4 linked regions of the Coturnix japonica genome follow. The protein of the gene in region 1 interacts with the protein of each later gene in a pairwise test. Links are inferred from orthologs where the notes say so. Each region holds a gene or a part of one and is shown in the gene's direction. Other genes may lie near its edges.

What was found.
Region 2: the proteins of ZYX (region 1) and IMP3 interact in binary tests that used the Homo sapiens proteins (3 or more experiments, as listed by UniProt). The link is inferred for Coturnix japonica from reciprocal best matches to the Homo sapiens genes ZYX and IMP3.
Region 3: the proteins of ZYX (region 1) and NEBL interact in a two-hybrid assay, tested with the Homo sapiens proteins (2 studies listed by BioGRID and IntAct). The link is inferred for Coturnix japonica from reciprocal best matches to the Homo sapiens genes ZYX and NEBL.
Region 4: the proteins of ZYX (region 1) and CASS4 interact in binary tests that used the Homo sapiens proteins (3 or more experiments, as listed by UniProt). The link is inferred for Coturnix japonica from reciprocal best matches to the Homo sapiens genes ZYX and CASS4.

The regions. Positions count from the first base shown.
Region 1 is NC_029516.1:69,750,120-69,753,619, reverse strand, and holds part of ZYX (zyxin), read left to right. Parts: exon of another isoform or gene 1-376; intron 377-902; exon of another isoform or gene 903-977; intron 978-1,023; exon of another isoform or gene 1,024-1,134; intron 1,135-1,656; coding exon 1,657-1,908; intron 1,909-3,500. UniProt on the Homo sapiens protein: Adhesion plaque protein. Binds alpha-actinin and the CRP protein. Important for targeting TES and ENA/VASP family members to focal adhesions and for the formation of actin-rich structures.
Region 2 is NC_029518.1:100,140,899-100,143,873, forward strand, and holds IMP3 (U3 small nucleolar ribonucleoprotein protein IMP3), read left to right. Parts: upstream 1-1,342; 5' UTR 1,343-1,390; coding exon 1,391-1,948; 3' UTR 1,949-2,475; downstream 2,476-2,975. Other genes in the region: PLA2G7 (platelet-activating factor acetylhydrolase), read right to left, coding at 1-58, 1,127-1,251. UniProt on the Homo sapiens protein: Component of the 60-80S U3 small nucleolar ribonucleoprotein (U3 snoRNP). Required for the early cleavages during pre-18S ribosomal RNA processing. Part of the small subunit (SSU) processome, first precursor of the small eukaryotic ribosomal subunit.
Region 3 is NC_029517.1:16,578,769-16,582,728, forward strand, and holds the start of NEBL (nebulette), read left to right. Parts: upstream 1-1,160; 5' UTR 1,161-1,259; coding exon 1,260-1,322; intron 1,323-1,419; coding exon 1,420-1,491; intron 1,492-3,960. UniProt on the Homo sapiens protein: Binds to actin and plays an important role in the assembly of the Z-disk. May functionally link sarcomeric actin to the desmin intermediate filaments in the heart muscle sarcomeres.
Region 4 is NC_029535.1:10,845,571-10,849,782, reverse strand, and holds the start of CASS4 (cas scaffolding protein family member 4), read left to right. Parts: upstream 1-1,412; 5' UTR 1,413-3,398; coding exon 3,399-3,422; exon of another isoform or gene 3,423-4,212. UniProt on the Homo sapiens protein: Docking protein that plays a role in tyrosine kinase-based signaling related to cell adhesion and cell spreading. Regulates PTK2/FAK1 activity, focal adhesion integrity, and cell spreading.

The DNA.
Region 1 (3,500 bases):
CTGTAGCAGGAGATTCATTGCACTGTGACAGTGAAGCACAAGACAGTCTCAGTGCCTCCATCAGCAAAAGCCTGTAACAAAAATGCCTGGAGGTCTCTGTAGAAGCTGTAGAGTTGATCAGTCCCTTCTGATTGCTGGCTCCCAGCAATGTGAGGGACCAGTGACAGACCTTGCTGACTGCGTTTCTGCCTTGGCCTTTTCCCATGCAGGACCATATGGGGCATGCTCTGCTCAGCTCTTTGTCTGCTGCTCACTGTTTTTGGAGGAACCCAGAGCTGTTTGTCAAAGCACACGCAACGTGTCAGCCCTGCGCAAAGGGAAATAAAGACTTATGTTATCGTGTGTTTGTAAGCTGTTACCAGGTCCATCTTACCAGGTGGGTCTGAAACACGTCAGCATGTAGAAGTGAGCACAGGGCTCTCAGCAGCAGCCATGGGTGATTAGTGGTGGATGGAGGTTGGTGACACCAAGGCTGTCCTAGCAGCTATCACAGCCAGCTGTCTGCATGCAGAGTGGAGGGGCACTGCTCTGAAATGCTAGCAATAGAGCCCTGGGCTATTGGTGCTAGCTGTTGGGATGGGGTGTTAGGACTGCAGGCATGCCGGGGTTACAACAAAGCATCTGGCTTTGAGATTTCTAGCACAGATGAAATTTCTGACCTGAATTCCAGGGCTGAAGGAATGCTGGATATGTGGCCCTCGGGCTCCTGAAACAGCTGGCTTGGCGAGGCTAGTCTATGCTTATTCAGATTTGGCGACAGAAAGGAGGGAGGGCGGAGAGGCTCTCAGGGCTGCACGTAGCAGTGCTCACCCTGCTCTCAGAACAAAGCTGAGTTATTTGGCCATCCCGCAGGCAGGATGGCCAAATAAGCTGAGCTCTGGTCTCAAGCCTGAGGGATCTACCTTGAAGATGCTGAGTCGCACGGCCGCAGAAATGCTGCCCGGAGCCCTTGGAACTGCTTCCTGGTGGAGGCGGAGCAGGCGGCTGGCTCAGCCAGTGAGGGTCAGGGGATGCTCCTTCATCGGCAGCTACAGGAAGAGGGAGAAAGCAGAGGGCCCTGCCAGGGAATGTGACACCAAGAACCCCTCACCTGACCTGGTGTTTCTGCCTCTGCCTGCACACGAGGGTCTGGAGGTAAAGTGGGTGGGATGAGAGATGCAGGGGTGTGCTGGGGAATAAGGGGGTGTTACTGGGGGTGTCACAGGCTGAGGACAAGAAGAAGCAGATGACGTTAGCGGGTAAGTGGGGCAGAGTGAATGCAGATTGCAGTCGTGGAAGAGGGAGTGTGAGGGTTTGCTATGCTGGGTGAAGATGCTTGCACTGGTCATCAGCTCCTTCCTGCATAGTGTGTGGAGGGGTTTTGAGCAGCAGGGAGCTTAGTTTTCTCTGTGGCAGCGCATGGATGATAAGAAACCCCTTTGTGGTTATCACTGTGCTGAGCTAAGGAAGTGTGCTGGCTTATTCAAGCTGCCTTTAGTAGCTGTTCCTCCTTCTTCCTGTGCTGATTCTTGAAGTGTTCTGTGCTCTGCTTTGGCCCCTCGGCCTCTGCCCAGACACAAGCTCCTGTATCTCCCCATTGTATGTTCCTTTCTATTAATTCCCACTCGGACCTAAGTCTGACATCATATCACTTTCCTCTCTCTTCTCTCCTGCCAGCAGCCAAAAAGATGGCTTCTCCAGGTACCCCAGGGACCCGTATGACAACCACAGTCAATATCAACATTTCCACGCCGTCCTTTTACAACCCACAGAAGAAGTTTGCACCTGTAGTTGCCCCTAAACCCAAGGTGAATCCTTTCAAGACTGGGGGTGCATCGGAGTCATCGCTGCCACAACCTCCTGGAGCTGGAGCCCAGCGTGCCCAGATAGGGAGAGTGGGAGAGATCCCCGTAGCTTTGACAGTAGAAGGTAGGTGAAGAGGGGTGTGACAGATGTGGTTATTGCTTCTCAATTCTCAGGGTGCGAGGTCTGTAACAGGGTTAAATATGAGAATCACTGCAAATAAAGCATACTGTTGCTGTAGATGCTTGCAAGTTTCTGAGTAAGATGAAAGGATTGTGAAGTGATCTCAAAATACGTGGCAGCTCAGTTGGGAAAGGAGTTAGGAAAGCAATCCTGCGTTGCACTTCGATTTTAGTAAAGCTGGAGGAACGCAGTGTTTTTTTCATGATATTCCCAGTGTGTATAATTGTGTAACTGCAGTAGTATTCTGGCCAGCACGCCTAAGAGCAAGTATGTTGCAGAAACATTCACTCTGGTGGTGATGCATCGTGCTATTCTCTTTCTAACCAATTCATCTTAACTCCAGTTGGCTGTCTTCAATTATAGAGACCCTTCTTGTGGACTGATCTTTTGCAACAAAGACTGCAATTTCGAAGGAAGTAGAAATAATTGCATGGAAAGAACAAAATAAAAGGAAGCTAACGAAAACAGGAAACGAGACTTGTATAACTGAGTTTTCTACTTTCTGCTGTTGGTTTGGGTTGAGTGTGTTTTCCTGTGTACACTGTCTTCTTGTTTTAGTGTGTGGCTTTCTTTTTTTGTTCTTTCTTTCTCTGTTCTTGTTGGTTTGGGTGGTTGGTTGTTTTTCTTCTAAGGAGCAGAAGGTTCCTGTGTGAGGCTGGTGTGTCCTGTACTAACTCAGTGGGCAGCTGCTAATGGTAGGAAGGCTGATCTGCACTCAGAGGCAAATGACTAAACTATTCTTTCCATTTCATGAGTCACAATGGCCCCAGGGTGTCGGTGCCTCTGCCTTGTAGAATTGCACCACCTAACTGGTGACCTTTTGCTTACACGCTGTTGGCTGGAATCTTGAGTCTGTCATCCAAGGTCTTATCATATTTTATATGCTTTTCTGCTGAAGTTGTGCGGATTTGGAGCGTGTTTGTAGGTTGCATCAAACTGACAGAAAGATATTAACTTGACTACAAAAGCAAACAAATGGGTATTCAAAATTGCTTTTCAGAATGTAGTAAGTAGGGAATTGGGTGTTCGTTGTTCCACTTGTCCACTTCTTTCCCTGTAAAGCTTCTTTTGAAGGAACAAGCTTGGTGGAGATTAGCAGAACTGTTTGGCTTAAGCTGCCACGTTACCAGCGGGTAAGGGCTGCTAGCAAAGGTTTATTAACAAGGCAGATGAATGACTGAAACACAGTTTTGACTCAGTCAAGAGAGGTGTGCATCTGATTTGATTCTTCCCTGATACATCTCTTTGATCATTCTCTTCCTTTCCTTTACTCTCCCCAGAGGAATGATAGTATGACATAGACCCATAGCAATTGATCTCTGTTTTAAGTGACAGGATGGCTAAATTGCTATCGCTGTTGTAACTTTACATTTAATATTGGTCATTCAGTAAAGCTCATGCAAACTTGATCCCAAAACATCATTTCAAAGAAAAAATACTGGCTTTATATTACCTTTTTTTTCCCTTTACTCCCAAAAAGCAGAACAAGAAGACTTGGAAGAGGCACTGCATACCAGTGCAGTTTATGCATTCCA
Region 2 (2,975 bases), on another chromosome or scaffold:
GCGTCTCTTCAATCTCTGTGTCGTCACATGATGGATAATACAGGCGCAAAAAGCTGCCCTGGAATTAGCAAAAAAACAAAGGGAAGATTGTAATTTATTGATGTATGGCAATGAAAGGTCAGACTTACACCTGCTCCACCTGTACCTTCATCACAGCATGGTTGGGTTGGAAGGGACCTCAAGGATCACGAAGCTCCAACCCCCCACCACAGGCAGGGCCACCAACCTCCACATTGATACCAGCCCAGGCTGCCCAGGGCCCCATCCAACCTGGCCTTGAACAGCTCCAGGGATGGACGGGGCATCCACAGCCTCTGGGCAGCTGTTCCAGCACCTCACCACTCTCAGAGCAAAGAACTTCCTAAACTTACACCAACGTGTGACACAAGGGCAGTGAAGGAAGCAGCAAAGCTTCAGCCAGACGGGTAATTATATTAACTCAACCCCAGGGTAGTCGCAGTGAATTTCCCCTGATGAGCAACTGCTGAACAACACAGGGAAAGGTCCATTGCCATCACTAGGAATTGTAACTGTGCTCAATGCTCTAAGGGAAGGCTGACTGCAGAGAGAAACCAGCCCCGTTGTGGTGCTGTAAGAGAAGCCAGGTGGAGCAGAGCAAAACCCACGGCTTATCTCTGTGACTGGGTGATACCTCACGGGCCTGGAGAGCAAAACTGCAGTGCAAGATGAAAAAGCAAGAGGATATGAAACAGAAACTCGTAGTTAAGCCCAGCAGATGGTACTGCCGTTCCTGCCTTATCGTGGTGTCTCCCTGCACTACCGACACCCTGTTCTCTGGGCAGACACCATCTCACCTCTCACACTCCGTCCTGCAGCTGAAGCAGCTTATCCTCACCACCAGCCCCCAGCCCCCAGCGGGACCGTCCCGAGCACAGCGGGCAGAGGGAGCCGGGATGGGGCCAACAGCTGGACGGCCCGTGGGACACACGGCTGGGGGCTGCTGGACCCTGAGCTGTGCCCCGCCGGGATGGGATGGGGTGGGATGGGATGGGGTGAGACGGGACGGGACGGGACGGGACGGGATGTGATGCAGGCTCAGCTGGGGTCGCGTACATCAGCCCTGCACACAATCACGCCGTCCATCGGGCTCATCCCGGTGCCGTACCTCGGCCGCGTTGCCGGTCATCAGGTCCGTGCAGCCCACGTTGTGCGGGCCCTTCCCGGCGGGGATCCGGTAGCCCCTGTCCGCGCCGCCGCTGCCCATCTCCGGGGCTGCCTTCGCCGACAGACCTGGGGACAGAACGCCGTGTAAACACCCCGGCTCGGCCCGGCCCGGCTCCGCCCGTCGCTCGCTCCGTGGGGGCGGTGCCGGCCGTGCCCCGTCGCTCCTCCCCGGAAGGCGCCGCGTGGATCCGGGCGGCAGCTCAACATGGTGCGGAAGCTCAAGTACCACGAGCAGAAGCTGCTGCGGCGGCTGGAGCTGGTGAGCTGGGAGGCGGCTCCGGGACACGTGGCGGAGCTGCGGGCGCTGCGGCGGTTCCGCGTGGGGCGGCGCGAGGACTATACGCGGTACCGGGCGCTGGCCCGGGACATTCGGGCCCTGGCGCGGCGTCTGCGGGACCTGGGCCCGGCCAGCGCCGCGTTCCGCTCCCGCAGCTCCGCGCTGCTGCTGCACAAGCTGTACGCCATGGGGATCGTGGGCTCGCGCCGCTCCCTGGCCGTGTGCGAGCGCGTGTGCGCCGCCTCGTTCTGCCGGCGCCGCCTGCCCTGCGTGCTGCTGAAGCTGCGCATGGCGCAGAACATGCGACACGCCGTCACCTTCGTGGAGCAGGGACACGTCCGCGTCGGGCCGGACCTGGTCACCGACCCCGCCGTGCTCGTGCCCCGCGCCATGGAGGACTTCGTCACTTGGGCCGACGCCTCCAAACTGCGCGTCAAGGTGCTGGACTACAACCAGGAGCGGGACGACTTCGACCTGGAGGCGTAGGGACGGCACAGCCGGGCTGAGATACACGGGGAGAACACAGAGCTGCCAGCCCGGCCTGCACACAGCACACACAGCACTGAAATGAACTGAGCTGCTCTGCCCACAACACACACACACTGCATGAGACCTCACTGCGATGCTGCCAGACTAAGCACACCGAGGTGCCGGGCTCACCCACCAGCTGCAGCTGCTCCCTTGCTAAGGATGGCACTGAAGGAGCTTTGCATGAGGCCAAGCAGCCACTGCAGGGCTGTACCATGTGCCCAGTGCTGCTGCCACCCCAGGAAGGCAGGAAGGCTTCTCCAGCCCAGAGCAACGTGCCAGCAGGGAGGGCTGTGCAGTCAGCGAGGGACCCAGTGGTGCATAATGGGACTGTGGGTGTCTGGGCCTCACACAGACAACAGACAGAAGCGGACTTGGCGTTCCTGTGACAGCTCAGAGCGGGGCAGGGCAGGCTGCAGCTCCATGCTGGGGGTGTTAGTCCTCAGCCCAAAAAGGCAGAAATAAAATGTCCCATTTTGAAGAACTCCCCGTGGTGTCTCTTATTGCCTTTCCCTGACGCTTCCCGGGGCTGTTGGTGTGAGCAGCACTTATCTCACTGAACTGTTCTGTGCCACAGCACCGTGAGCACCATGCTCAGGTTGTGTTTGGTCACAGTTCCAGCTTGGAGAAGGGAAGGCTGCAGGGAGACCTCAGTGTGGGCATCCAGTACTTGAAGGGAGCGAATAAACAGGAGGGGAATGGCTGTTTGTGAGGGTGGGCAGTGATAGGACAAGGGGGAATGGTTTGAAACGGAGACAGGGGAGGTTCAGGTTGGATCTGAGGAGGAAGTTTTTCCCCCAGAGGGTGGTGACGCACTGGAACAGGTTGCCCAAGGAGGCTGTGGATGCCCCATCCCTGCAGGCATTCAAGGCCAGGCTGGATGTGGCTCTGGGCAGCCTGGGCTGCTGGTTGGTGACCCTGCACACAGCAGGGGGTTGGAGCTGGGTGAGCACTGTGGGCCTTTGTGATGCAGGCCGTGCTGTGA
Region 3 (3,960 bases), on another chromosome or scaffold:
TAATTCATAATGAATACTACATCTTGATTATTATAGACTGAAATCATGAAAGCAGTTTGTGCTTTTTTTTCTTAACATATTCTACCTCATCCCCCAGGAATGTGTGTTTTTAAATAAGATCCTAGGAAGCATTGTGTTTGGGCTCAAGTACTCAGTATGCTTTGAAGAGGTTTTCCAAGAGCACACATTGCTTGTATCTTTGCCTGACTGCAAAACCTTTTAGTGGTGAATCAATCTGCTAGATTGAAGTTCAAAATCATGACCTGTATAAAATGAGAAATATACATGCTACGGTTTAGAAAGAATGTAATAAAATTGTGGTTACTCTGACTCGTTCTGTAATATGTACTTACGTGTTTTACAGATGCAAACTCTGTGACACCATATCCATTGGAATAAGGATGTATTTCAGTTTCCTATTAGCTGGACTTCATATTGAGAAAGGTTAGTTTTGAGATCACAACAATTTTAATGGTGAATGAATCTGCATGGCTGTGTAAATACATAGCCATGTATGTTTGTAAGTATGCAGATGCATTTGTGTCTGTCTGTGCACGGATTTAAACTTCAGCTAACTTCACTGATTTCATGATTTCATGAGTCTGAGCCATTTCCTGGAAGTCTGAATCTTTTTAGAGTTCTCGTGTTTTTTCCATGTATTTATTAGTAATATGGAAAAAGTTTAAGAAATTTTTTATGCTTGATAGAAAAAGACCGCTTCCTGGTAAATATACTAACTGCAACATCTCCTTGAAAATGATAATGGTGTATTTTTTTAATTGGACCAACGTAATAAAATTTTGTGATGACTAGTTTTGGAGTCTGCATGCCTTGAATCTGCACAGTTCTCCCATAAACATAGGATCGGTGTTTCCCTTTTAAACCTGGTAATTTTGCTAAATTACTTATGTTATGAATTAATTGAATCACAGTATTTTAATTACATATCTTCACAGTCATTTTATAAATAGTTGACAGAGATAGGTCATTTAATTATATTTTATCTGTAAGAAAGCATTAGCTCTGCTGCAACTGATAGCTAGCAAGGCCATCTGCTATGCCTTTCAGTTCACTCACACTGAATTGTTCAGATAAAGACTGTCAAGTGCTGCCTAAATAAGGAAGGAGCCTTGGTAAAGTTAAGTGCAGTGGAGGACACAAATGAAGCATTGATTCCAGGCATGCTGTAGAGTCTGAGCTGTTTCCTGCAGCTCTGATCCTTTTTAGAGTTTTCATTGTTGTTTTCTCCAAGTATTAAAATGCGAGTATCTGTCACTCAGGAATTCACAGAGGATGAAAATGAGAATGGAGAAGAAGAAAGGGTGAGTTAAACCCAATAGCTTTGAGAAATATATTTTTTTTCTTTACTTGTTACTCTTTTAGGACAAGAAACCTGGAATGATTACCTTTCTTTTATAGGTCTTCCTCAAGCCTGTTATTGAGGACAGAAATATGGAGCTGGCCCGAAAATGCAGTGAAATAATAAGTGATGTAAGTGACAGTGATAGTTTGCATTCTTACATTTGCATTTCTCTTTTCAGTGGTTTTATTTTTACTTTATTTTTACCACATATATACATTCACAGTCCATATTAATTCAGAAATGTGCCATACAGCATGTGCCCATCCTAGGCTCAAATTCAGAGCACAAATAATAGAAAAGCACAGTGTACTCTGATACCTTGAATTATTAGTTGAGGAAGAAGGAGTTTTTTGGAGCACTTAAGCTGTATGAAGCATAGGCCTAGGAAGAAGTTTCAAAAGTTGGGTCTCATGTGGAGGATGACTCCCTTGAGAGCACTTTGGCTGATTTCACCAGTAAAATGCAGTATTTTTGCCAATTGCTGCCCAATCTTATGAAGTCTGGTTGGTTAAAATAGAACTGTGTGCTGTACTTACATAGCTGTAAAGAGAGAAGGTGAAAGTCAAGCAGATGAACTTTGGTTATTGTCTATTAGTCTTTGGTGGTAGAAGTTCAAATCTACATAACAGACTATTATTGACATGCAGCTATAGGAAAAACCCATTGAAATGATAAGGTAAAGCGGGTTTGAAAAGTAACTTTTCCCCTTCATATGAATTGCAATTGGAATGATTGTTCTATACAGCATGTTGAGGATGGTGTTGACTGAGAAAATGTCAGTTCACAACTGTTCTCCGAATGAAACTGAAATTGGGGCCTGGTTCATGTTGTGTTATAATATTACCGCAACACATGTTGCATTAATGCAAGGTTCAGGATGTTATTATTCAGGGGAATGATTTTTTGAGAATAGGACATACAGAATCTACATTTTAAATGTTTAGGGGATATGTATCAGAAAAGAATAGGAAACTCAGAAAAACGGTACCTCATAGATGTAGGCTTTACAGTGCTGGCTCAAAAGTTTGACTTGACAAATGAAAAAGCTTTTTCTTTGCCCATGAACCATCTGGTAGTATTTTAATTTTCACAAGAAGACTGCTGAAAATTAGAAACATCCTTAAAAGAAGCTACCACGATGGCTGCTTTGTAATCTCAAACTATTTTAGGAACTGGTAGAGATTATTACTATTTTTACTGATGGCTATCTACAAGCTTTCTGTGGGAAATAGCATCTGACACAATAAAACACGTTAACTCATGGGGAGGCCAAATAAAAATGGAGATGGAATACCGATCCAACCCAAAATATGTGCTGCTTCTGTGCAGTTTATTTTTCTAAAAATGATTGCTGTTTTTCAAGGCAAAAACTCCTTCAAAAATGTTGAAGAAATATTTGCTTTCATTGAAAGGAATTACTACTGTGCTGTGTACCCATTACTGGTAATGTTGGCAGTGACTGTTAGTTACTACATTTAGCAGTTAATTATATTTTCTCTAATTTTCTGCAGGATCTTGAGGGCTAAAGTGAGTAATTAAGTTAAACCAGGTTCCTGAAACCTGTAACAGTGTAGTCTTTTGCTGAAAGCTTGTCTTGCACTTAACCTGCAAATGCTTTTGATTTTCACTGAGGTATGTGAAACATAATGGCAATGTGTCGTTACTGCTTTCAAGGCTGTAGTAATAAGTAATGGTTCAGAACAAATTTAATTTCAAAGATGATGTTCTTTGTTTAAAAGTGGCACTCATTTTGGAGGCTTTATTCAGCCTTTGGTGAAGTCAGTAGGTGTGTTCTGATTGGCTTGGATGGAACATGTATACGCGTAAGGAATGAATTGGAATTTCTTGTGATCAGCAGTGTTGTTCTGTAGTAGTTTTTTCACCTCACACACTTCACTGAGGAGCCCAGTCAGCTGTAAGGAATTTGCATTTTGAGACAACAATGCTCAAAACTTTCTACATATTCTTCATCTTCATGTTTTTATTTATTTATTTTTAATTATGTAATTAATTAATTAATTTTTCCCCATGACTTTTTGTTCATTTTAGCTGCACAGTGTTTTTTTGGAGGGTTTGCAGTTTTACCCCAAGATGACATTGTGACAGCAGCCCTTGTCCTTGCGGACCACGAGACAGGGTGGTTGTCCTTGTCAGTCTGGTATCCTGCCAACACAGCTCCTCCATGAGAACACAGTAACAGGAGCACTTGAGACTTGAGATACTGTGATTTCATTACACTCACCCTGCATTCTTTTCAGGCTGACTTTAGTTTGGCAATATGATTTAAAAAAGTGGTTCTTGTGGCATTCCTGAGTTCATGTGCAACTGTTAGGCTTGAACTGTATGTGGGGAAGCTGGGAAGTGTTTATGAGCTCCTCTTCTTCAGGAAATCCCCATCTTCATTTGAGGTTGTTCTGTGGCTCTGATACCCCCTGAATTGTTTCTCTCTAAAGCCATTTCATTTAATCTCCCTCCATTATGCAATTTTATTTCATCGATGCTTTCAAAACTGTCATGTATATTCTATTTAAATGAATTACCTTCCATTCCAGGCCTTCTGTCTTCCGTATTGGAACTGAGCCTATCCATTTGCTTGT
Region 4 (4,212 bases), on another chromosome or scaffold:
TTCCTTATATCATCTTCTATTGATTGTACTGCCAACAGATGCCTAAGTGAGAGCTACGCTGTGTCTGGTTTTTGTTTTGTGTTTCTGATTCTGTCAGAGGGCAGAAAAATATTGAAATACTGAAACTGAAGTTTTGCCCCACGCTAATTTTTTTTATTAGTGTGCGTGGCATTAATTTTTTTTTTTTAAAGTCATCTCTGATTTTACTCAAGGAGTTGGGGTGTGGAATAAAATGATCCTTGCAGGAAGGATTAAACTTATTCTCCTGTCTTTCTGAATCCTGTGAAAGATAATGTGACTAAATCTTGCTCAAACTGGGCAGTGTGAGCCGGTTTTGCTCTGCATTGTATCTGTGCAATCCCCCTAAAGTCTGTTTAAAGAATGGATTACACGAGCGACGGTAGAACTCGGCGAATGTTTTAATGAAGCCTTAAGCCATCTTCGGTTCCGATTCACGCTTTGAAGCTCTTTTATATCTTTCAGTTTCTTTCCCTCAGTTGGCCAAGTGGGCCTCTGGTTCTGAGCCGGTTTTGTGCCATAAGAATTTGAAACGTGGTTTTAAATTGTTTAGATGAATTGAAGAAATGGTGTTCTAGTTCTGATATTAAAGTTCAGACTTGAAATCTCGTCTTCTTTACAATTTATCTTAAGTGTAATCTTTAAAGTAAATTCAAGGAATATTCATACTGAAGCTATTCAATGTGGCAGTGCTGCAGCATATGGAAATGAGAGTAACCTGGCTATAGAGTCCCTTTAGTAACTCCTCTGAGAAACTTGTAACGTTGATTTTCTTCATATATGTATGTCGGAAATGTAAATGTGCTTCATTTAGGAGTTCTCATTCCATCAGTCTGTTAGACAGGAATTGAGACACTTTGAATTTAAAAACAGTCTCATTGTTTCTTCTACCTGTTGTGTCTGATAGTCGGAGTTTCCCAGATCTTACTGTGTTCATTACAAGTACAGAGCAGCAAGAAATGTGTGCTTAAAACTTCTGTACGTTTGGAAATTCATTGCATGTTCTTATAGATGAGGTTTATTATCTGGTCTCTGTAGCTTTAAGAGACCCTTTATGCATTCCATCTGCAGCATAGTGTGGTACAGTGCTTTTCAGATTCACATTTGGGAATAAGTTTCCTTTAGTCATAAGCTCAGCACTTGCTTTCATTAAATGTATGGTTGTCACTGTTGGGTTCACTTTCCATTGCCACCAAGTATCTTGTCAAGGGCTGATAAGGATGCAGGTTTTTGTCTATATATAAATAAAGATTATCTTTTTAAGGATTATTTAATATATAACAAAGGAAGTGTATTAGTTTTCTATGTAAAAGCAGAATATTGGAAGGATAGAATTTGGGATGTGTTACAGTCTGAATCACTCTGTTGCACTGCATTCAAATCAGGCCGTTTTAAACTTGCAGTGTTTAATGTTTCATTTCTGTTCTTTTAAAGAGCAATTTAATATTCTTAAACAATACTGCAGTACAGAACAAATGTGTTAGACATAGCAGTTCTCTGCATCAAATGCCTAAACCTTTATCTCATGCCTCCCATGCATCTAATGGCTTCTGCTGGCTTTTTTGGTGAAGGAACAAGGAGAACTGGAGCTTGGTGGGAGGGAAAAGGGAAGTCATGGCACAGTCGTTAACCCATGCTGCACTGCTCAGCAAAGCAGCCCTGTGGTACCAGCCCCAGTTGGCTAAAGGGAGCAGTGGTAGTTCTTTATTAAACTGAAGTGTTCCTTCCAATTCTGGTAACACAGCTGTCTAGAACTCGTTTGCTGTGGACCTTTGGGCTCTTCCGTTTTCAAAGCAGTATTTAGTATATTAAACCAGTGCTGAAGTTGTTAAGTTAGCAATGTTCTTGCTTTCACTTCAAGATTCCTTAATTCTTTGCAAGCTCGGTTTGCTTGTTTTGGTCTTGAAACACAGAAGTGGAGATGCAATGTGTTAAGAAGGAAACATCCTGAAATGAGCTCCTCTGTTTTTGTCTTAGCAGAACTTCAGTGAGAGACGATGCTGCAGAGAGAGAGAACAGAGTGGCACTTGGCTGCAGGACGTTCATGTTGATTTGATTAAAAGAGTTTGATTTCAGGAGGTATTTACAAAAAGCGGCCTTGCTTTTCCCAGCAAAAATCAAGTTATTGACTAAGTTCGTTACTGTGCTTTGTTACTTGACAAATCCAAGGGCTTTGGAGCGAAGTGGTTCAGGGAGCAGCTTGTAATCTAGCATGGCAAGATATCAAAAGCAAAACCATTTTGTTTAGGCTTCAGGTTGAGTAAGATGGATTCTGCCTGAAGTAAAAATGTTTGTATGCGGGGTATAATTGTATAAAAAGGCTCAAGGCCTGAATTGAACTTGAGTTCAGGGAGCTTCTGAACAACTGAACCAAAAGCAGGGAAGTCAGGTCTGAGTGAAAAGTTCAGAGTCAGTGAGGAGATGGGCACGGTTGGGACAGATAATCAATCTCTACCTGTTTCTGTTCCCCTTCCCTAACACGGGTGGAATGTTTTTACTCAAGTTTCAGAACATTGAAGTTGACCAGGTAAATTGAGCCTGGCCCTTACAGAACCGGTCTTGCCTGCAAATGGGCACATTCAGAAGTGTCTCCAGGGCAATGACCTTCAGAAAGATGCTGTTTGTTGGTGCCTTGCTGCTCTTAAAATTCTCTGTTAGTGAAGCTGGGGAGAAGAAAACCCAACTCTGCTCGATATTTGGAATGCTCCTTCTAAGAGCATTCTATGGTAAAGGAAAGGATGCTGCCATAGAACCACTCTGCTCTGCCTGGCACAGGGCAGGATGCTGTCTCTGAGTGCAACAGGCTCAGGGCAATGAGGAGTCATCCGCATAGAATTCATCCTCACGTATGGTAATACTTAGGGTTTTCTCAAAGCCACTTTTATGTATCAACAAAAATGATAATGCTGCTGAAAATACTGAGACAGCCTTGAAAGGCATGAAAAGTTGGCTTAGGAATCCTGAACTGGTACGATTGTGGCAGCCTTCTTCCTATCGAGGGCTGTGCAGCCTCTTGTGGTGTGAAGTTTTCTTGTGTTTGTTACACTTCTAAACAGAGAAATACGGGAACAGGCAGCAGAAAAGGAGGGTGACACTTGTGGCTGTGGTTAATTGCAGCAAGCTGGTGACAGTTCAAGGACAATTCCGCTTGCGGACAGACTCAGTTCTCGATGCTCGTAGGGTTTCCCTGCTTTGTTTTGTTTTGTTTTCCACCTTATCTGCTGTTGCAGATGCTGTATTTCATGAGAACTGCCTGCACGCGTTGCTGGGTGCTGTAAGGGCAGGGCTGGCAGAGCTGCGGGTCCTACACACAGTGACTGCACAGCGCCAGGGCTCGGCAGCACCTCTGCACCGCTCTGAGTGCTGCTGCTGGTGTGAGCATGAGAAGCAGCCACACTGCAAAGGTACGTTGCTTTGGGTTGTCTGAATGTGGCACAGAAGTGAAAAGGTTCTAGGGCAGGGTTTGATGGTTGGGCTCAGCATCAGGCTTGGTGATGCTGGAGGTGTTGGATGCTCTCATCCTGGGCAGGGATGCGTTGTACTGACTGTGCTTTTATTGTGTGACAGTTCATTAATGGGGAAAATGTTGTCATGAGGGGAGCTCCAAACAAAGCAGTAATGACTGCCTGTGAATAAACACAAGTGAAACAATGGATAGACAACCTCGAGGCTGCCCTGCTTTGCTGCTCTGTGATAACGCTGTGCACGCTGTATGTTGTCAGAATCGTATGGGGAGCCCCAGTCATCTTATTGCAGATAAATTCCCGATGTAACAACAAAGCAGAAACAGATTTAAACTGCTCTCTTTGGTTTCAGTTTTTAGAAGGAAGCAATCTGCAAGGTTTGCCACGTGTCTTTGTGTATTCACGTTGTCCTAATGTGTTTTTAATAGACACAGATAAAAGAGCTTGCTGCTGTACAGTCAGAGGACTGAAGTCTTAATTCTTTATTCAGTGCTTTGATCATCCGACCATCTGCAAGTCTAACGAGCAGTGTAACAGAATGGTTGTTGAACCCCTGGTGATGGTCCCAATGGTAACTAAACAAACTGCTGCCTGGAAATGTGGGTACAGAGCAGAACAAGAGGAAGAAGTTGGTGAGCAGCCATGGGCTGTGCTCAGCATTTCCACTCAGACATGCAGCGATGGCAGAACAGTTTCTTATGTGAAGTCACCAGGGTCTGTTGCATGACAT